Callithrix jacchus: one gene and its partners. The protein of the gene in region 5 interacts with the protein of the main gene of each other region in a pairwise test. Links are inferred from orthologs where the notes say so. Each region holds a gene or a part of one and is shown on either strand. Other genes may lie near its edges.

What was found.
Region 1: the proteins of FAM118A (region 5) and ATOX1 interact in binary tests that used the Homo sapiens proteins (3 or more experiments, as listed by UniProt). The two-hybrid records come from large-scale screens. The link is inferred for Callithrix jacchus from reciprocal best matches to the Homo sapiens genes FAM118A and ATOX1.
Region 2: the proteins of FAM118A (region 5) and LNX1 interact in binary tests that used the Homo sapiens proteins (3 or more experiments, as listed by UniProt). The link is inferred for Callithrix jacchus from reciprocal best matches to the Homo sapiens genes FAM118A and LNX1.
Region 3: the proteins of FAM118A (region 5) and MOB3C interact in binary tests that used the Homo sapiens proteins (3 or more experiments, as listed by UniProt). The link is inferred for Callithrix jacchus from reciprocal best matches to the Homo sapiens genes FAM118A and MOB3C.
Region 4: the proteins of FAM118A (region 5) and WDR4 interact in binary tests that used the Homo sapiens proteins (3 or more experiments, as listed by UniProt). The two-hybrid records come from large-scale screens. The link is inferred for Callithrix jacchus from reciprocal best matches to the Homo sapiens genes FAM118A and WDR4.

What each region holds. Positions count from the first base shown.
Region 1 is NC_133503.1:50,706,606-50,710,733, forward strand, and holds the start of ATOX1 (copper transport protein ATOX1), read right to left. Parts: upstream 2,805-4,128; 5' UTR 2,717-2,804; coding exon 2,711-2,716; intron 1-2,710. UniProt on the Homo sapiens protein: Binds and deliver cytosolic copper to the copper ATPase proteins. May be important in cellular antioxidant defense.
Region 2 is NC_133504.1:143,227,759-143,231,271, reverse strand, and holds part of LNX1 (E3 ubiquitin-protein ligase LNX), read right to left. Parts: intron 2,204-3,513; coding exon 2,026-2,203; intron 486-2,025; coding exon 257-485; intron 1-256.
Region 3 is NC_133508.1:83,363,053-83,367,005, reverse strand, and holds the start of MOB3C (MOB kinase activator 3C), read left to right. Parts: upstream 1-1,146; 5' UTR 1,147-1,442; intron 1,443-3,953. UniProt on the Homo sapiens protein: May regulate the activity of kinases.
Region 4 is NC_133522.1:48,644,299-48,648,505, forward strand, and holds the start of WDR4 (tRNA (guanine-N(7)-)-methyltransferase non-catalytic subunit WDR4), read right to left. Parts: upstream 2,808-4,207; 5' UTR 2,750-2,807; coding exon 2,661-2,749; intron 137-2,660; coding exon 74-136; intron 1-73. UniProt on the Homo sapiens protein: Non-catalytic component of the METTL1-WDR4 methyltransferase complex required for the formation of N(7)-methylguanine in a subset of RNA species, such as tRNAs, mRNAs and microRNAs (miRNAs).
Region 5 is NC_133502.1:214,651,451-214,654,963, forward strand, and holds part of FAM118A (protein FAM118A), read right to left. Parts: intron 2,168-3,513; coding exon 1,946-2,167; intron 1-1,945.

The DNA of each region.
Region 1 (4,128 bases), on a different chromosome or scaffold from region 5:
TCACTGCAACCTCCGCCTCCCGGGTTCAAGTGATTCACCTGCCTCCTGAGTAGCTGGGATTACAGGTGCACGCCACCACGCCCAGCTAATTTTTGCATTTTTAGTGGAGACAGGCTTTCACCATGTTGGTCTGGCTGGTCTCAAACTCCTGACCTTGTCATGCTCCTTCTGCCCCGGCCTCCCAAGGAACAATTCTTTAATAGAATCTCAGAATTGGGAGGGTGGGGAAGAGGGAGTCATCTTGTCCAGACTGTCTCCCCGAGAAGAGAAATTCTTTTTCAAATATTCAGGATATTCAATCCTTGAACACGCTAATGTTTACTAATATTAGTATGTGAATGTATACTATGTGCTAGGCATTGTTCTAAACACTCTACATGCATTATCTTAATTGTCACAACAATCTCATGAGGCAGGTACTAGTATTATCCCTTCTTGACAGATGAGAAAACAGGTTTTGGAGTTAGTTCACCATTCGCAGTGATTCAGCTAGGGAGTAGGAACTGAATTGGACATAGTCAGTCTCTAAAACCTCAATGCTTAACCAGTGAGATCTTGTTAAAATGGGATTGAACACTGCCTGCCTATAGTTCTTTTTCTTTCTTTGAGACAGGGTTTCTCTTTCACTTTGTCACCCAGGCTGGAATACAGTGGCATGATCATGGCTCACTGCAGTCTCAACCTCCCCAGCTCCAGCAATCCTGCCACCTTAGCCTCCCAAGTAGCTGTGACTATAGGCACAGGCCACCACATCCAGCTCATTTTTGGTATTTTTTGAGGAGACAGGGTTTTGTCATGTTGCCAAGTTGGTCTCAAACTCCTGCATTAAAGTGATCTGCCCACCTGGGCCTCCCAAAGTGCTGGGATTACAGGCATTGAGTCACTGTGCCTGGCTTTATCTGCCTATAGTTCTAGCCTATTTGTCCTGCGTCTACACAGGAGCTACCGTTTCTTGGGGACTAGATATGTCAGTGGCTGGGTGACATGTTTTACTGGCATTTTTCCAATTAATACTAACAACAGTCCTGTGAACTTAAAGTTTTTGTCCCTATCTTACAGATGAGGAAATCAAGGCAGTGAGGTAAAGCAACTTGCCTGAGGTCACCCAGTTGGCAAGCTGGGGGCACAGATTTTCAGAGGTTTCTGGGATTCCAAACCCTGTGCTCTCAGACATTTGAGAAAACTCTCAGGTAACACACTCTTCCAATTATACACACACACACACACACACACATATATACACATACACACACACATATATATATTTTCTTCCCTTTCCAGTTTTGAGGCAGTCCCTTGACTAACACCCTCCTTCCTTCAGCTGTTCATCTAGTGAGTGGTACATGGTGCCAAGTGCCCTCCTCATTCCCATCATCTGCTCCAGAGGGTCTTTTGTTTGTCAAAATCCACAGAAAAATACACAGAATACAGTGATCATCAAGCTGGCCTTTTCCTCATTGCCACCCCCCACCAAAAAACCTGGTGGCCTCACTCTCCCAGCCCCAGGGCAATTAATACTGTCTTCTACCATTGCCTCAGGCCAATTTGCTCAACTGGTAGGGCTGATTCTATCAGATTCCTTGTCCATACTTTGTTGTTGGAGGATTTGTCTCAAGGCACCTGGCAAGGCTCAAGGGAAATGACACCTGAGACATTTGTGGCTTTGCCCAGGGGACCTCAGAGTCACCTGCCAGCTCCCAAAAGACAGGCTGCTAAGATAGATTGCATCTGTGAGATACTTCTGGGTATCCACCTGACCCAAAGCCATGAGTTAGGCACCCTGAAGAAAATGCAAAACACCACATGACCCTAACCAAGATGTAACTGAGATCAGAGCTTCTTCCCAAGCCGGTGTGACCGCTTTTGCCAGGCCCCTCCCATGTGACCAGGCTGGAGAGATGGGAAGCCTAAGGATAAGTTGGCTCTGCCAACTTCAACACGACCTGGAATAAGTTGCTGGGCTTTTTATATTTTCATCTGCCAAAGGCCTCAATTCTTTTTATAAAAAATGAGGCCATGAGCAGCAAGGTATGTGTGATAAGACTGAGTGATCTGCAAAGGCAGGCTAAGACTGACTTCCCAGACTCTGCCATTGAGCAACTGGTGACTTGGCGGGGGGTTCCTGAACCTCTTTGGGGCTTATGGGTTCAGGCTGAGAAAGTGTCTCCATTCAGGGTCCCCCACAGCTGACCTGGAAAGTAGGCCAGAGTGGGCAGGGAAATGAAGAAAAGCATAAACCTCTGAAAACCTGCCAGGTCCGTGAGGCAATAACCGGGTCCACCCCTTGACCAGAGCCTCCCCACCACCCTCATTCAGGCCAGCTCCGCGGGCAGGGCAGCCAGGAGGAAGGCTCAGGAACTAGGCGTCTCAGTTCCTGCCCGTCTGTAACCTCCCGCCTCCTGCTAAGCGACCCCCTGCCCTCTCTCGGGGTCTGTTTCTCCGTGTACGCAGGGAAGGCGTGGGCTTGTCGCCCCCTGGAGGCCTTCTAGCTCCGACGTTTTGAAGCCTGGCTCCTAGATTAAACTCCCTTCGGATTCCATTTTCTGGAGGGTCGCAAAAGCTGGGGGCTGGGTGGGGTAAGCCGGGGGACAATAGCAGCTCCAGTCGAGGCCTGAGCCCTTCAAGAGGAGCATCCAGCCAAACGGCTGTGCAGCCAAGGTGCAAGCCGGGGACTGCAAGTCTGCGCGGCGGGGACAGCGTAGCCACTCACCGGCATGACTGAGGCAGCGGCGGTGCGGCAGCGGTGCGGCGGCGGTAAGGCGGCAGTGGCAGCAGCGCCTCTCTGGGCTCGGAGGGCGGGTTCCGCTGCGCATCCGAGAGTGCGCGTTGAAAGCCCGGTCCCGGAGGCCCCGCCCCCTCTGGGCCGGATCGCAGCCAGACGCACCGCCTCCTTCCCTTTGCCTGAGCCCGTGGTCACCCTGCCTGGACGGAAAGAGGAGGTGAGAGGGGCGCTGCGCTGGCCTCCATCGACCGTCGGCCTTTTTCAAAACGTCTACTTCGGGTCAAGCTTGTGTTAGGAAATACAAGAAGGTCACTGCCTTGACCAGGACTGATCCATCCATCCCTAAAAGGACAGTGTCTCTCATTTATTCACCCAGTCAGTATTTATTGAGCGCCAGCTATCTAGGACACAGCAGTGGAAAAGACGTAGCAGGATGCCGCGAAGGATGCAGGCCGTGATAGTGCAGGGTTAGAGGAACTGTCGTGGCAGCGGAGGCAGGGCCTGACTGGAGTGGGGTGGGGGCATGGTGGTGCACGCCTGTAGTCCCAGCTACTCGGGAGGCTGAGGCAGGAGAATTGCCTGAACCCAGGAGGCGGAGGTTGAGGTGAGCCGAGATCGCGCCATTGCCCTCCAGCCTGGGTAACAAGAGCGAAACTCCGTCTCAAAAAACAAAAAACAAAAAAACTTGGATGCCTCATTTTCAAAACCTCCTGTAAGGCTGGGTGAAGTGGCTCATACCTGTAGTCCCAGCACTTTGGGAGGTTGAGGTGGGAGGATGGCTTGAGCCCAGAGTTTGAGACCAGTCTGAGCAACACAGTGATACCTTATCTCTACAAAATTTTAAAAAATTAGCCGGGCTTGGTGATACATACCTGTGGTCCCAGCTACTTGGGAAGCTGAGGTGGGAGGATCACTTGAGCCCAGAAGGTTAAGCCTGAAGTAAGCTGTGATCTTGCTAGTGCACTTCAGCCTGGATGACAGAGCAAGACCCTGTCTCAAAAACAAGAAAGCCCCCCAAAACACCCCTTTCATATACCTACCTGCAAGTGCTAATGTATTACATCCCTTTTGTTTTAAAGATCAAAATTTCTATATTATAGTTCCTCATATCATGATTAAAATCTACTTAACACTAATTAAAATAATACAGACATGTTTTAAAAAAATCACACAGCCAGGCACGGTGGCTCACACCTGTAATCCCAGCACTTTGAGGCTGAGGCAGGAGCACTGCTTGAGGCCAGGAGTTTGACATCAACCTGGTAAAAAAGTGAGACCCTGTCTGTACAAAAAAGATTAGCTATGTACGATGATGGATGCATGCCTATAGCTACTGGGAAGGCTGAGGCTAGAGAACTGCTTGAGCCCAACAGTTCGGGTTGCAGTGAACTATAATTGTGCCACTG
Region 2 (3,513 bases), on a different chromosome or scaffold from region 5:
ATGGCAGCCCTGTGAGCGCCTCAACCTGAACACCTAACAGTGTTTCCACATCCAGGCTTTCATCCTTGCCCCAGAATGCCCACATGCATTTTCTGTTACGAATAGGAAGAGAGACTTATTTTACAGTCCCACAACCAAGATTGGGTCTCATTAAGATGCTAGTGCCATGAATCAGCCCTAGAAAGTAAAAGTGTGGTTTAAGAAATGTAACTGTTTCCTCTCACGCCCCTAACAGGGATGTTGCATTGGGACTTACCGTGGTAATTCCAGCCACATGACCCAGGATGGGGACCAGTCACTGGGTGGGGCCATGTTGTGGTTAGAATCCAGGGCTGCTGGGCTGCCGCAGTCCTCGTGGGGCTCACGCTCTTTGACTTCCAAAGCTTTGAGTACTATCGAGGAGGATGTTCTTTTCAACAATCCCACTGCCTCACTCCGGCTGACCTCTGTCAGTTCGACCCCATTCACATTCAACAAAATGTCACCTGATGGCCAGAGAAGTAGAAGCTACCTTTAGTGAGAGCATGAACAAGGACTTCCGCTTAAAGTGCAAGGAGGTAGGGGCCGACTGGGATGCAGGGATACAGGGATGCAGAGAGGGCAAAGGTTTTCTTTGCTGATGGGAGGCTGGGTGCTCACATAGCAAATGGTAAACACTGTGTGCATTCCGAAGTGCTTTAAGACTTGTTTGGGGTTTTCTAAAACACACCTATCAGTGTTTAGCTCTTGCTGAAGGAAGGAAGGGAGAGAGGAAAATTAGCCCTGTTCACTATTTAATGAAAGAAAACCTACTTTTTCACTCCTTTGTTTCTTGTTTTTAGCATAAAAACATTTGGCAAAAGCTCCAGCATTTGCACAGAGCTTGGCAGGTAGAAAGCATCCAGTAAATATGGATTGAATGAATAAGAAACTACCCATGAGAGTGTGTGGCAGAGGAGTCTTGGAGCTGCACTCTTAAAGGAGAACATTTTCATTGTCAAGGTGAAACAGCTACTACTGGTTAAGCACCTACCAAGTGGGGGATCATTTCCATACAGATCATATAATCCTCTAGCTCATGTTTTGCTAACAAGTCATTCTGACAAGCAACTTTGTTTGGCTTCATCATTCTCCACCCAGGTGTTTTGCAGAAAAAACTAAAATATACATCTCCCCTATTTCCACTTTCTAATCTTTTGTCTCCATCTTGTTTTCTGTGTCCCCCTTTGCTTATCATCTTTCTAATACAGAATAATCGTAGCAAGAGCAAAAAGACAGGAGGAGAGAAAGGCCTTGAGTCCTTTCTGACCCAAAAGAAGCATCTTTCAGCCAGCTGACTAAATCTCTTAAGATACCATCTCCCGATAGCTCCTCAGACTCAGCTACTGTACTTGGGAAACTACAGTTTCTCTCTTGAATCTGGACTTTTAAATGGTATAATTCCTCATTAATCTGAGCTACCCTCTTGTATGAATGGACAATATTATTAAGGATACATATTTGTAGAGGCAAATTTGATATCACCTTCCTTTATTTACTCAAAGTAGGCCAGAACACGTGAGCTTAAAGTAGTGAAATCTAGCATGATACTTTCACTTATGAGTATTCATTGAATCAAATCTATCAAATGGCGTTCTCTATCTATCCCATATAATGGAATAATTCATGTTTGATCACTGGATCAACCCACCAAAGAACCACTTAGAATGAATGGAACTAAATTATGCCATTTAATAGAGGCAACTTGCTCATAACCGTAGAGTTCTCTATTAATTCCTGGAACAGTTTGGAGATTCTAGCTTTACTTGCAAGTAATAATTGAGTTCCACTCATTCTAAGTGGTTCTTTGGTGGGTTGACTGAGAAGAGTGGAACCTGGTCTCGTAAGTATACTCAAACCAATCATGGTCAATGGGTAGCAAAAGTCCTGGCTGATCACTCCCACATTCTCTCATTAATTTTGAAAATGGTTGCCTAACACAATGAGCTATTAATTTCTCTTAATACCCTGACACCCCGGTGCCTTTAAAACCCCTTTACTTTTTACCTGTTTTTATTCTTCCATCTCTGCTTATGACTCCTCCAGGCTCAACACTGATGACATAGATGGGCAAATCCCATTCTCTGTGTGATGCTCCCCCTGCGACGGTCATGCCGAGAGATTCGCTGGGATCTTTTCGGATATCTACCACCTTCTCGTGACAAGTAATTGTAGGATGGAGGGGCTGAAGGCACAGACAGAAAAACCGCACATGAATACACAACTTTGGTAGTTTTTGCATGTAGAAAATGCAAAGTGGGTATTTTTTCTACATGCAAAACTACCAAAGCTGCATAAATATGATGGTGGTTCTTGAAATGACAGAGAAAGACACGTGGAAAGAACCCTCACCTTATCCACACCCCAAAAATAATAGGGTTACATGGTCACAAATTCTATAGCTTAACTCAGATAAAGTTTACATTTCAAAAGGAAAGAGTTAAAATGGAGGGAGGAACAGGTTGGAAACCCCTGGAAAAAGAGATTTCTAAAAATTTTTTTGGTAGAGACAAAGTCATGCTTTGTTGTCCAGGCTGGTCATGAACTCCTGGCGCCTTGGCCTCCCAAAGTGCTGGGATTACAAGTGTGAGCCCTGCACCTGGCCATGGAGGAATCTTAAACACACAGAGTGAACTGCACCCAAAATTTCTCAAGTCAGCCATTTATTTCTGATAGTAGTGAGTCAGCATTTCAAAAACATTTATGAGTATCGAGAACTTTTCTAAGTTAAAAAAAGTAACCATATTTTATAGAGTCTTCTTTCACACCTGCTCAGTGCTTACCAGACAGCCTTGCCTGTAGTGCAAGAGATGTGTAGTTGTGCACTGAGGGGCTGCATGCAGTGGCTGAAATGCCACGAATACGACACATGCCCATGTGTCCTGTGTCTCATGAACCAAAGTCCATAACCATTTTCTTTCTCAACCAGAAAGAGACCAACATTGGCAATGGGGAAAAACCATCTGTGAAAGCCTCAGACACCCAGGGTTGCCTGACTTTGGCTGGAGAGAAGAAGAGTTATGTATGATAGAGATGACTTTTCTATTTATCTGTTGTTGTTGTTGTTTGAGACAAAGTTTTGCTCTTGTTGCCCAGGCTGGAGTGCAATGGCACAATCTCAGCTCACTGCAACCTCTGCCTCCTGGGTTCAAGTGATTCTTCTGCCTCAGCCTCCCAAGTAGCTGGGATTACAGGCATGCGCCACCATGCCGGGCAAAATTTGTATTTTTTTACTAGAGATGGAGTTTCTCCATGTCGGTCAGGTTGGTCTTGAACTCCCGACCCCAGGTGATCCACCCACCTCAGCCTCCCAAAGTGTTGGGATTACAGGCATGAGCCGCTGTGCCCAGCCTATCTATCTTTTCTCTCCACTCTCCTCACCTTACTTTGGACACCTTAGAATGTTCCCCAATGTTCAAAAACATAATTTATGATAAAATAGCTTAGGCTAATTAAAAACACCATGGGTACCTGAGTATTTGTCAAACTATAAGA
Region 3 (3,953 bases), on a different chromosome or scaffold from region 5:
GTTCCCTTCCTAGTATCCATGTATTCTCACTGTTTAGTTCCTACTTATAAGTGAGAATGTGCAGTATTTGGTTTTCTATTCCTGTGTTAGTCTGCTTGGGATAATGGCCTCCAGCTCCAACCCATGTTGCTGCAAAGGATATAATCTGGATTAATGATCTAGCATGTTCTCATCAGCAAACAGAAGTTCCAAACACAAAGACAGTCCAGCGTGCCATGGTAAATGTCCACCTCTGGCCTCCAGCTCTCCCCTACCTGCATCTGTTTACCTCCCACTCCTCCAGAGTGGCTTCTACAGCTCAGCTGTCTGCTTTGGGCTTCCTACAGTAGAAGGCCTCCAATCTTCCCTCCCATTCCAGACAGAGCAGCCAACTGGGCCTGGGCCTGGGGGCCACAATGTGCATTGAATGCTGGTGGGATATCTGTCTGTCCTCGAAGGAACCCAGGTGGTAGGGAGAGCAGATCAGATCTTGAGTGGTTTGAATTTGATCAGAAGGAAGGAAAGAAAGAAGGTATTCTAAAATGGAAGAGCTGGGATAAATGTTGGAGGTAAGAAATGGGGTGACTCGGTGAGGAGCAAGGAGAATTGGCCCAGCCTGAGCAAGGTCCCCTCCCTGGTTGAGGAGATGGAGTCTGTGATTTGAGCGCTCTTCTGTGCCTGTCCCACAGGGGTGATGGACTCAAGTCGCTCCTGATTCCCAAGGCGTTCATTCATTCCTTCACTCACTCACTCACTCACTCACTCATTCATTCATTCAAGTGGGTTCTGAATCCTATCCAAGGAGCTAGGATATGGGAGTGGATAGGACAGCCCCTATCCCTTATTGGGTCCCGGGACAAATGTGACCCACTTGTAGGAGAGCGAAGGAACCACCCTATCTAGCAGCTCTTGTTTCTACTCCAGAAGGAGCCTAACTTTTTCCCATTTTACAGTCTGGGAACCTGAGGCTGCCTCCTTGGTGGAGGTCCAAGGAAGCACCAAGAGTGGGGGCAGCTCAGTCCTTGTCCAAGGGGAAGCTGGGAGCACAATATGGACTTTATGGGAAGGCGGGGGCGAGTGAGTCTGTGTACTGGGGTGGGGGGGAGTCCCCTTTCCCCGCCCCGTGGCAGCGGCGTGGCGGGGCTGGGGCGGAGCTGGCGTCGCCCCGGACGGGAGGGCGGCAGGAGAGACGTACGGACAGGCAGACCGGCGAGAGAACAGGCACGGCGGGACTGGCAAGAGGAGGCGACCCTGTGGCCGGGAATGTGACCCCGCGGACAGAGGAGGACCCGTGAGAGTGCGCTGTGCCCTCGCGGCCCTGCCGCGCACCCCGCCCGCCTGGCTTCCACTTTCATTTCTTCGGTTGTCCAGGCGTGGCACGGTCCGGAGGCGAGTCCCGCCCGGAGGCTGGCTGGCCGCTGTCCTGGGGCTGGGGTCCGAGGCTCAGAGCTTCGAAAGTTGGGGTGGGTTTGGGGTTGGACGGGGCAGAGGGGAGAGGTTGGGGGGCTTATCTTCGGGAGCGGAAATGTCAGGCGGGATCCTCTGGGTCCTACGGCCTGCCTGGCCCTGGGAGCTGGTTTGGGGATGGGCGTGGGTGAGAGCGTGGAGTCTTCGCCTCTACTTTTATCTATGATCTCTGTCCTGCAGAGCGTCCCAGGCTGGATTCTGGGTTCAAACCAGGGCCATCCTCTGTCCCAGATCCTGGGTCAGGCCCAAGGAGAGGTAGATGTAGCCTGTCAGAGAGCTAAAGGTCAGAAACAGGCAGGGTCACCCTGCTGTCTTCATTTGAGAAGCCCAGATGCCACCCAGGGAATGAACAAGCCACTGCCACTACAGGAGTGAAAGGATAGCCAACCTTGGGAAATGGGGGTGGGGGGAACCACAGTGGTTTAGGGAGGAGACAGGAGTTCGTTCTGTGACAGACCGAAACTCAGTGAGGGCATGGAGGTGGGACTGAAGGGAGTTATGCCTGTGGCTAGAAGAGCACCTGCCCTCCACCCAACCCCTGAGCTTACATTTTCCAGGGAAGAGAAAGTTTCACAGGAGTAAGGTGGGACACTAGCTCATTGGTCAGGACATCCCAGTTGCTGTGTGGAGTCAGCATATTGGGGGCAGGAAGCAAGCTGGGCTGTTTGGTGGAAAAGATGCTTCCACTGTCCTTCCACTCCCCTCCTATCTGTCTCCACCAGACCATTGACCAGCCAGTGCAGGAAAATGGCCTTTTACTCTTGGTCATGAGCCAAGCCCCAACTTATCCCAGTTACCAGTTCTGCTTGTAATTTGCTATGTGAACACAGGCTCCTCAAGTCCTGTTTTTAGACCTCAGTTTCCCCATCTGGGCCTCAGTTTCCCCATCTGTACAAGTGATTTGGGCCAGTTGATCTCTCAGGACTATTTTAACTCTAAGATTCTAGAGTCTAAGCTTTCCTTAAAGCATAAATACTGACTTTGCGGCAGGCCTTTTCCTAAGCTGGGAGTAGGGATGGAGTGGAAACTGCAATGACCGAAAGCAGCCTCTACCCAAGGAGGAGGAGATCCGAGTTCAGGAGGAGGCTGTGGGAGGAGGTAGCAGCCAATCTGAGGATGTGCGGTCAGGCAGGTGAAGGGATAAGAAAACATCCAGAGGCAAGAGAGTAGCGGTGTGTTCAGGAATCAGGAAGAAGCCCAGGGTGGTTGGCGTGGGAGGTGGGAAGTGGGGCAGGAAAGGTAGGACAAGGTGAATGCCAGAATGGGGGACTGTTTCTAACTATTGTAAAGGGGGCCATGCGATGTGGGGAGGAGCCCCACCTAATTGCAGTGTAAGGGATTTTGGAATAACTTGTCCCAAGCAGAGTTTAAAATGGAGATGGCAAGTGAAGTGCAGAAATCTTTTTGCTCTAGAAGCTCGGGTCCCACTCTGGAGACTTCTTTGGGTGAGAAGTTGAAGAGTCAGGTTGGATGAGATGACCTTTCAGATCTGTGAGGTTTTTTCAAAAGAGCAAGTTCCTGCTGAAAGGCCTGTTTCTACTCTCCAGGCTGCTCTCATTTTACTAGAGTGCCCCATCCTGGCCTGCCTTTGTGGGTTCAAGGAAGGACCTTTGCTTCAAACATCTCCCCAGCTACTTTGACTTGTTGCCAGTACCCTCCCTGCAATATGTGTCATGCCTTTGGTTTTACCCAGTTGTCACCTGGTTCCCACCCTCCCTTCCCCAGTTCTATCCCAGGGTTACCAGAGATGTGAGAAAGGACAGTACTCCAGCATCAGTCAGAGGTCAAGGCTAGGCTTTTTCCCTGGCCATATGCAAGCCTCAGGGTAGAGCTAAAGGCTAAAGTCAGGGCTCACACTCGCCCCAGCTCAGGTGTCAGAGGTCAGCCTGGAACCAGAATGCAATTTTAGCTTATACTCAGCCTTAGTGCTCATTCTGGGGGCAGGGGCAGTGCTTAGTTTGTGACTAAATTCTAGTCTTTGTAGGTACATGGGTCTGCATTTCCTGGTAGCTCACACATTCACAGGTGAGATGAGATGACTCAGGCTTAGAAACCTAGCTATAGCAGAGTGAGCCAGGACTTGGGTGGACCAAATCCATGGTGATAACAGGCGTCACCTGGTAAGCCAGTGACAGAGCTGGAACTGGAACCCAGGATTCCTGCCTCTGAGCCTAGGGCCCTGATCACTGTCTCCCTAAGTCTGTTCTGAATCTGGGATCCTTAAATTCTAGAAGGCAAAGCAAATTTGCCTGAGCTCTAGATGGGCCCCGCTGGGTAGATCTGACTATACTCTCCTACCTCCCTGTGCCAGGCACATAGTAGTTGCTCTAGGAATGTCTACTGAGTGTCAGGTGCAAGGGGAGGAGCCAGTGGCTTGTTAGATTTGGGGCTGGAAGAGACTGGCTTGTGGGGGAGGATCTCCAGTCATTGTGAGAGGAAGCAGTGCCCTTGTAGGCCTGCTGCCCTCCCCCTCCTCCAGTGCTTGCAGCCACACTCAGAAGCCGCCC
Region 4 (4,207 bases), on a different chromosome or scaffold from region 5:
CAAGTAAGACAACAATTGCTTCTTAGACCCTCTGGTCCCGTTATCAAACCATTAAATCAGGCCCACATCTCACCCTTTATTTTCTTGTGGCTTCTGTTCTGCAGCACTGCAGTCATAGATGAAGGGGCCGTCATCACTAAAGGTAAATAACAATGATTTTAAAAGGCGTCATCATTAAAGAGAAGTAACAATGATTTTTTTTTAATTTAGAATAATCTTTTATTCACAATACTTTTTTTTTAAATGATTACACTTTAAGTTCTGGGGTATATGTGCAGAACATGCAGGTCTGTTACATACGTATATACGTGCCATGGTGGCTTGCTGTCCCCATCGATCTGTCATCTACATAAGGTACTTCTCTCCTAATGCTACCCCTCCCCTAGTCCCCACCCCCCAAAAATTATGTTTTTATAATTTTTTTTGAGACAGTCTCACTCTGTCACCCAGGCTGGAGTGCAATGGTGCAATCTCAGCTCACTGAAACCTCCACTTCCCGGGTTCAAGTGACTCTCCCGCCTCAGCCTCCCGAGTAGCTGGGATTACAGGCGCCCACCACCATGTCCAGCTAATTTTTTGTATTTTTAGTAGAGATGGGGTTTCACTATACTGGCCAGGCTGATCTCGAACTCCTGACCTAAGGCGATCCACCTGCCTCCATTTCCCAAAGTGCTGGGATTATAGGCATCAGCCACTGTGTCCAGCAACAATGATTTTTAAAGGAGAACGTTGTTTAAAAAAAAAAAAAAAAAAAAAAGATTTTTTTTCTCTGTAGATCAAAAAATATTTGCATATTCATTAAAGGTCTTATCCATGACAAGAAAACTGTCTAGATATAATGTTTCAGGGAACAGTTAACAACTTTAGTTGCTTAATCTCTTATTGGAGTATATCATATACAACCCAATAGTTCTGTGGGAAAAAAAAGTCCAGGCCAGGCGGGTGGCTCACGCTTGTCGTCCCAGCACTTTGGGAGGTTGAGGTGGGTGGCTCACGAGGTGAAGAGTTCAAGACCAGCCTGACCAAGATGGTGAAACCCTGTCTCTACTAAAAATACAAAAATTAGCCAGGCGCAGTGGTGGGTGCCTGTAATTACAGCTGCTCAGGAGACTGAGGCAGGAGAATCGCTCGGGAGACTGAGGCAGGAAAATCACTTGAACCCGCGTGGCAGTGGTTGCAGTGAGCCAAGATCCTGCCACCGCATTCCAGCCTGGGAGACAGAGTGAGACTGTCTCAGAAAAAAAAAAAAAAAAAAAAAAAATCAGTAAAACAAACGAGGGGTAAACACTCAACAGGAATTAATAACGTTATTCTTATGCTATTCCTTCAGGCACCAGAAAATCTAAGCGATGTTCTGATGCTGTTGAGTTTTCAGTGGGATTCTCTATACAAATTTCAAAGAGCCATTACCTATTCAGAAACGCATCTCACCTACCTGAAAATGTTCCCATGACTCCAAGCACTTACCAACATAACAATCACCCATCTTCCATACTGAATCTAAACTCTCTTCAGTTTATCCCATCCCCTACCCTGGCACGTAGCTTGTACTTATTTATAGCCTTTAAAGTGCACCAAAAAACTTTCCATATGGAACAGTGGACTTGTCTTCCAAGTCGGAAACTCCACCAGCCGCTAGAATTTCCTCAAAATGCGTAGACTGATGGTAAGCACATCATGTCTAACGCATCCACAGCTCACTCTGGGCAGGTATTAGACCGTGAGTCTCTAAAGCAACATTATCTTGGATACATGACAGGTTTCTGAGTACAATTTTTGTAAGACCTAATTTAACATCGAATTGGCTTTCTGAAAGCAAAGAATATAAGTACATCTGACAGACACAGCATCTGTTTCAAGTATTAAATCACAAACCACCTGGGAAAGAAAATGACGGCTGAAACTGACAACACTACTAATAGCTCCGAGAGTCCTAAGTCGGGACTGTCCCATCAACAAACATTTACTAATTTAAAAATCCCCGGCGTCGTCCTAGCACTGGTGATACAATAAGGATGGAGAATAAAATTACAGAAAGCAAAACTCGAGCCATGTGAAGGGTCGCTAGGGAGGGGCAGCTGCGAGCTCTACGTGCAGCCTCGGGTCTGTTGTGTAAGTGTCAGAGACGACCCGGGAGTCCTAAGGAGCAATTAAGGCCGGGTAGGTGGCTGCAGGCCGGGAAGAGGGGACAAGCACCCCTGCAAAGAGAGGGAGCCCGCTCGGGGGTCAGCGAGCTCGTCGTAAGCCCCGCCCCTCTCATCAGGGAAACCCGAGACCCCCTTCTTCCCAGGTCTTCACAGCGTATTCGGCCCGGCCTTGCCAAGCGGTCAGGATCCCCGCCGGCGCCGCCGAGACTGGAAGTGACCTGGCGCTAACCGGGCGAGAACACTGCAGACTCGCCGACTAGGGCGAGGAGCGCGCCGGGGCCTATGGGGCGCCGAAATCTAGGATCTCATGGTCTCTCCTAGATTGGCTTATCTCCCCACTCCCGGACACGCGGCCAGGTAGAGACAGCGGCGGAGGGCTCCTGGGCTGGAGCGGGGTTCCCCTGGGTCACCCCAGAGCAGGTGCGATCAGGCAGTGCGGGAGAAGCCGCGTAGTCAGGGCCCGGCGCGCGCCCGCAGCCTGGGCTCCCTGTGACAAGACCAAGGCCCCCTCACCTGCTTGCAGTGGAGGTGGCCAGGAATCGGCTGCCGCCCCGCACCACCAGCGTCTGCCCGCACAACGCCAGTCCCACAGAGCCCGCCATGTACCCGCCCGCCGCGCCGCCATACACATGTGCCACCCCAGAGCCTCTTCCTGTCCGCGGCCGCCGGTGACGTCACGCGTAGACGCCGAGAGATGACGTATCCCCCACGGAAGAGCCTGCCTTGCGCGTGCGCTGCAGGTGCTGTGACCGTCCTCCCGTTTGCGGTTGGTGGCCGTCGGTGTTTCGGGCTGGGCCGCTCACTCACCATGGCGATCTGACGGCGTGCACTTCGCGCGATTCCGAGTGCTTGCCTAATGTTCGTCCTTTCCTCCAGACGGGGATCTTTGTCCGCCGTAGCTGGAGAGACGTAGGACCTGATAGCTACTTGATGGCTGGTAAAAATGATCCTTCAAGAAGTGAATGAGGCCCGGCGCGGCGGCTCACACCTGTACTCCCTGCACTTTGGGAGACCTAGGCGGGCGGATCACCTGAGGTCGGGAGTTCGAGACCAGTCTGACCAACGTGGAGAAACCCCGTCCCGACTAAAAATACAAAATTACCCGGGCCTGGTAGCACACGCCTTAATCCCAGCCACTCGGGAGGCTGAGGCAGGAGAATCGCTTGAACCCAGAAGGCGGAGGTTGTGGTGAGCCGAGGTCATGCCATTGCACTCCAGCCTGGATGACAAGAGTGAGACTCCGTCTTAAAAAAAAAAAAAAAAAAAAAAAAAAAAGAAGTGAATGAGCTGGGAGCCGTTGTTCACACCTGTAATCCCAGCACTTTGGGAGGTCAAGGGAGGCAGATCACCTGAGGTCAGGAGTTCGAGACCAGCATGGTGAAGCCCTGTCTCTACTAGAAATAAAAATTAGCCGGGCGAAGTGGCGCGCGCCTGTAATCCCAGCTACTCAGGAGGCTGAGGCAGGAGAATCGCTTGAAGCCGGGAGGTGGAGGTTGCAGTGAGTTGAGATTGCCCCACTGCACTCCAGCCTGGGCAACAAAGCGAGACTGTCTCAAAAAAATAAAAATTAAAAAATAGTCCAAGATGTGGTCATGGGTGTGGGTGTCACATAGGTGGGGTCAAGTCTGAGGTTGCTGGAAGTAAGCCTGCTTAACCTGTGCACTTAGACAAGCCAAAAATGCCTTAAAATTTCCAAACAGGAGAGATATTTTCAACCCAAACTGTGATTGGTTTCCAGTGTTCCTCCCAAGATCCCCAAAAGCTTCTTCCAATCCCAACATCAGGCACAAAATCTAGGATCTCATTGTCTGTCCTAGATTGGCTTGTCCAGTGCAGCTCCTCTTGATCCAGAGACTTACAAACTAAAAAGATGCATTTTCTCTCCCATGCACTCAACATATGATGGGCCAGATAACCACAATGAATACCTCAACGTGAAAAAGAGAAGAGGAGGAGACAGAACAATCACGGTCCACAGCAATTCTGAAATAAAACTGGAAGATGTTTTCAGGCCCTAGGGGGGTAAGAAGTGTTCCTAAACCAGACCCAAGTTCTGCCTG
Region 5 (3,513 bases):
CTAAGCATGTTCCTTTCCGTTCAATATAAAGATGCCCAGCAGGTCAATGCCCAGTCATCTTCACTCCATGGCCCACACAGCAGCAGGCAGAATGGACACAAACACCAACAGCCCCGCTGCCATCACTGGGCGCTGAGCCAGCTGGCAGTTCTGTTTATGCAACCGGCCATTCATTTCCAGACACTGACCACAACAAGCCTCAGCAGAGGGGACCGTGTGGCTCAGACACAGAGCGCAGGTGTCTGCCCCAAGGCACTGCTGGCAGGAGTGGATGCCCGTCCCGGGAGGGCGCCGCACCGGGCACAAGGGGACCGGGGCTGCAGCTGAGCCCAGCCCCTGCACTGACGCTGAGACGACATCTCTGCGTAACTCAGTTTCTTTGTCCAGAGCAGGGCCAGGGCCTTCTCTCACAAGTCAGCCCAGACAACATAAGCACACGCACAAAGGTCCCAAGCACATCACAAAAGAAATGGTCACAACGAAACTATGCTCAACCTTAATACAAGAAATCAATGTTTAAACTCTTCACCTATCAAATGGACAAAGTTTATTTCATTTTGTTTTTAATAACACCACGTGTTGGCAAGATACAGGAAATGGGTACTCCCGTACACAGCCACTGGGAAGGCAGCTGGTACTTTCTGGAAAACAATTTGGTAATTTACATCATCAGTCTTTAAAATACTCATAGCTTTTGACCACAAAACTCTTCTAGGAATTGATCTTGAAAACAGAGGGACATAAAAGTCTAAGGACTTTGTGGTGTTATAACTGATAGAATTTGGACATTCACCTTACCCGGATTTCATGCTGAATTGTAATCCCCAGTGCTGGAGGCGTGGCCTGGAGGAGGTGCTTGGACCACAGGGCCGGATCACCCCCCACGGCTTAGTGCCATTTTCGTGATAGTGACTTCTTGAGAGATCCGATCATTTAAAGGTGTGTGCCACCTCCCTGCCACCACCCGCTGTGGCCATGTGACACGCCTACTCCCACTTTGCCTTCTGCCACTGCTGGAAACTTCCTGAGGCCTCCCTGAAGCAGATGCTGCTATGCTTCCTATACAGCCTGTGGAATGCGGAGCCAATTAAAGCTCCTTTCTTTATATATTACCCTGTCTCAGGTATTTTTTTCTTTTGCTTTGTGAGACACAGCCTCGCCCTGTTGCCCACCCTGGTGTGCAGTGATCTCGGCTCACTGCAATCTCCACCTCCCAGTTCAAGCAATTCTCCTGCCTCAGCCTCCCAGGTAGCTGGGATTATAGGCGTGCACCACCATGCCCAGCTAATTTTTGTATTTTTAGTAAAGACGGGGTTTTGCCATGTTGGCCAGGCTGGCGTTGACCTCTTGGACTGAAGGGATCCACCCACCTTAGCCTCACAAAGTGCTGGGATTACAGGCCTGAGCAACCACGGCCCGCCTCAGCTCTTTCTTATACAGCAGTATAAGAATGGCCTAAATTACGCTATGAGCTACGATTGTGCCGCTGCACTCCAGTCTGAGCAACACAGCAAGACCCTATCTCTGAAAATAAAAAATAAAAGCAGGAAATATGAAGTCTTGGGATGCACAGAACACTGCCCCATCATTTCCCACCTGCCCTGGGGAGAGGCCAGCTCAGACTTTTAAGTCCTAGTATCTTGTTTTCCTATGGAGCACAGTATTCCAGAGGCTGCCAGTGTGCCACCTTCCATTATTACTTTTTTTTTTTTTAGGATAAAGGGTCTCTCTGTCACCCAGGCTGGCTGGAATACAATGGCATGATCATAGCTCATTTCAGCCTGGAACTCCTGGGCTCAAGCAATCCTCCCAACCTCGGCCTCCCCAGTAGCTAGGACTGCAGGCAGACGCCACCACACCTGGATCCTCTAGTATTAATTCACACTGCGATAAAGTGAAAGGTGCTTCCACACACTCACAGCCCACCCGTGCCCCCAGCCCATACCTTGGTCTTGTCCTTCAAGTCCAGAGACTCCATGGGCTTGTTCTGTTGCTGGCCAAAGATCTCCAGCAGGTTGTCGTAGTTGGTGGTCAGGACCATGGTGCCCCTCTCCATCAGGCTGAGGATCGACTGCAGCACCAGAGGGCTCTGGATGTGCTGCTCCAGGTTGTCAAACACCTCCATCAGGCAGTCCTGGAAGAAGCTGGGCTTGGTGTCGCCTGTGCGCTACGGAAAGGTGGAATGAGAGTTACAGAAACATCAGCCTCAACAACTGCTCAGCAGGTAAGCAGGCTGTGTTCTGGGTGCCAGAGACACAGCAGCTGGAAACAAAGAAAAGGAGGCTTCACAGAATGCATTACAACTCCAGACCAGGGGAAAGGCAATGCACACATGTATAGCACGCCACCAGTGACGCTGCCATGGGAAAGCACAGCAGAAACGGGCAGGCGCTGTGGGGTGAGGGTGGACAGGACCAGGGCACCAGGGAAGCCTCTCTGAGAAGGCGAAGGCTGAGCAGAGGCCTGAGGAGTTGAGGCCTCCTGGAGAATGTTCTAAGCAGAGGGAAAAGCAAGGGCCACAGCACGGAGGTCACGGCTCAGGTATGCCCAAGGCCAGCCAGAGGCCACTGAGGCAGGAGAGGAGTGAGGGGAAGTGTCAGCAGCAGAACCTGATGACCTGGGCCTTTAAGACCACAGTAAAGACTCTGGCTTTTCCTGAGAGCTGCAGAGTCCAGCTTTCTCTTTCTTGGTGGTGTACGAAACTCTGTGTCTTGATGGCACCTTCAATGAAGTGGGAGGCAGTGTTTTTCTTTTTTTCTGAGATAGGGTCATGCTTTGCCGCTCAGGCTGGAGCACAGTGGTGCCAGGATAGTTCACTGCAGCCTCCAAGTCCTGGGCGCCAGCGAGCTTCCCACCTCAGCCTCCCAAGTAGCTGGGACTACAGGTGCCACTACCACACCCAGCTCATTTTCTTTCCTTAAAAATTTATTTTTTAATTTTTAAATTTTATATATATATATTTTTTTGAGCCAGTCTCACTCTGTCACCCAGGGTGGAGTGCAGTGAGTGGCACAGTCATGGCCCACTGCAGTCTTGACCTCCCAGGCTCAAGTGATCCTCCCACCTCAGCCTCCCAAGTAGCTGGGACTACAGGTGCACACCGTTAACACCTAGCTAACTTTTAAAAAAGGTTTTTTTTGAGACAGAGTCTGGCTCTGTCGCCCAGGATGGAGTGTCGTGGCATGATCTCGGCTCACTGTAACCTCCCCACCTGGGTTCAAGCAATTCTCCTGCCTCAGCCTCCCAAGTAGCTGGGATTACAGGTGTGCACCACCACACGCAGCTAATTTTTGTATTTTCAGTAGAGACGGAGTTTCACCAAATTGGCCTGGGTGCTCTCAAACTCCTGACCTCAGGTGATCCACCTGCCTCAGCCTCCCAAAGTACTGGGATTACAGGCGTGAGCCACTGTACCCAGCCTAAAATTTTTAAAATTTTTTTGTAGAGACAAGGTGTTCCTACGTTGCCTCGGCTCATCTTGAACTCCTGCCCTCAAGTGATCTGCCCGCCTCG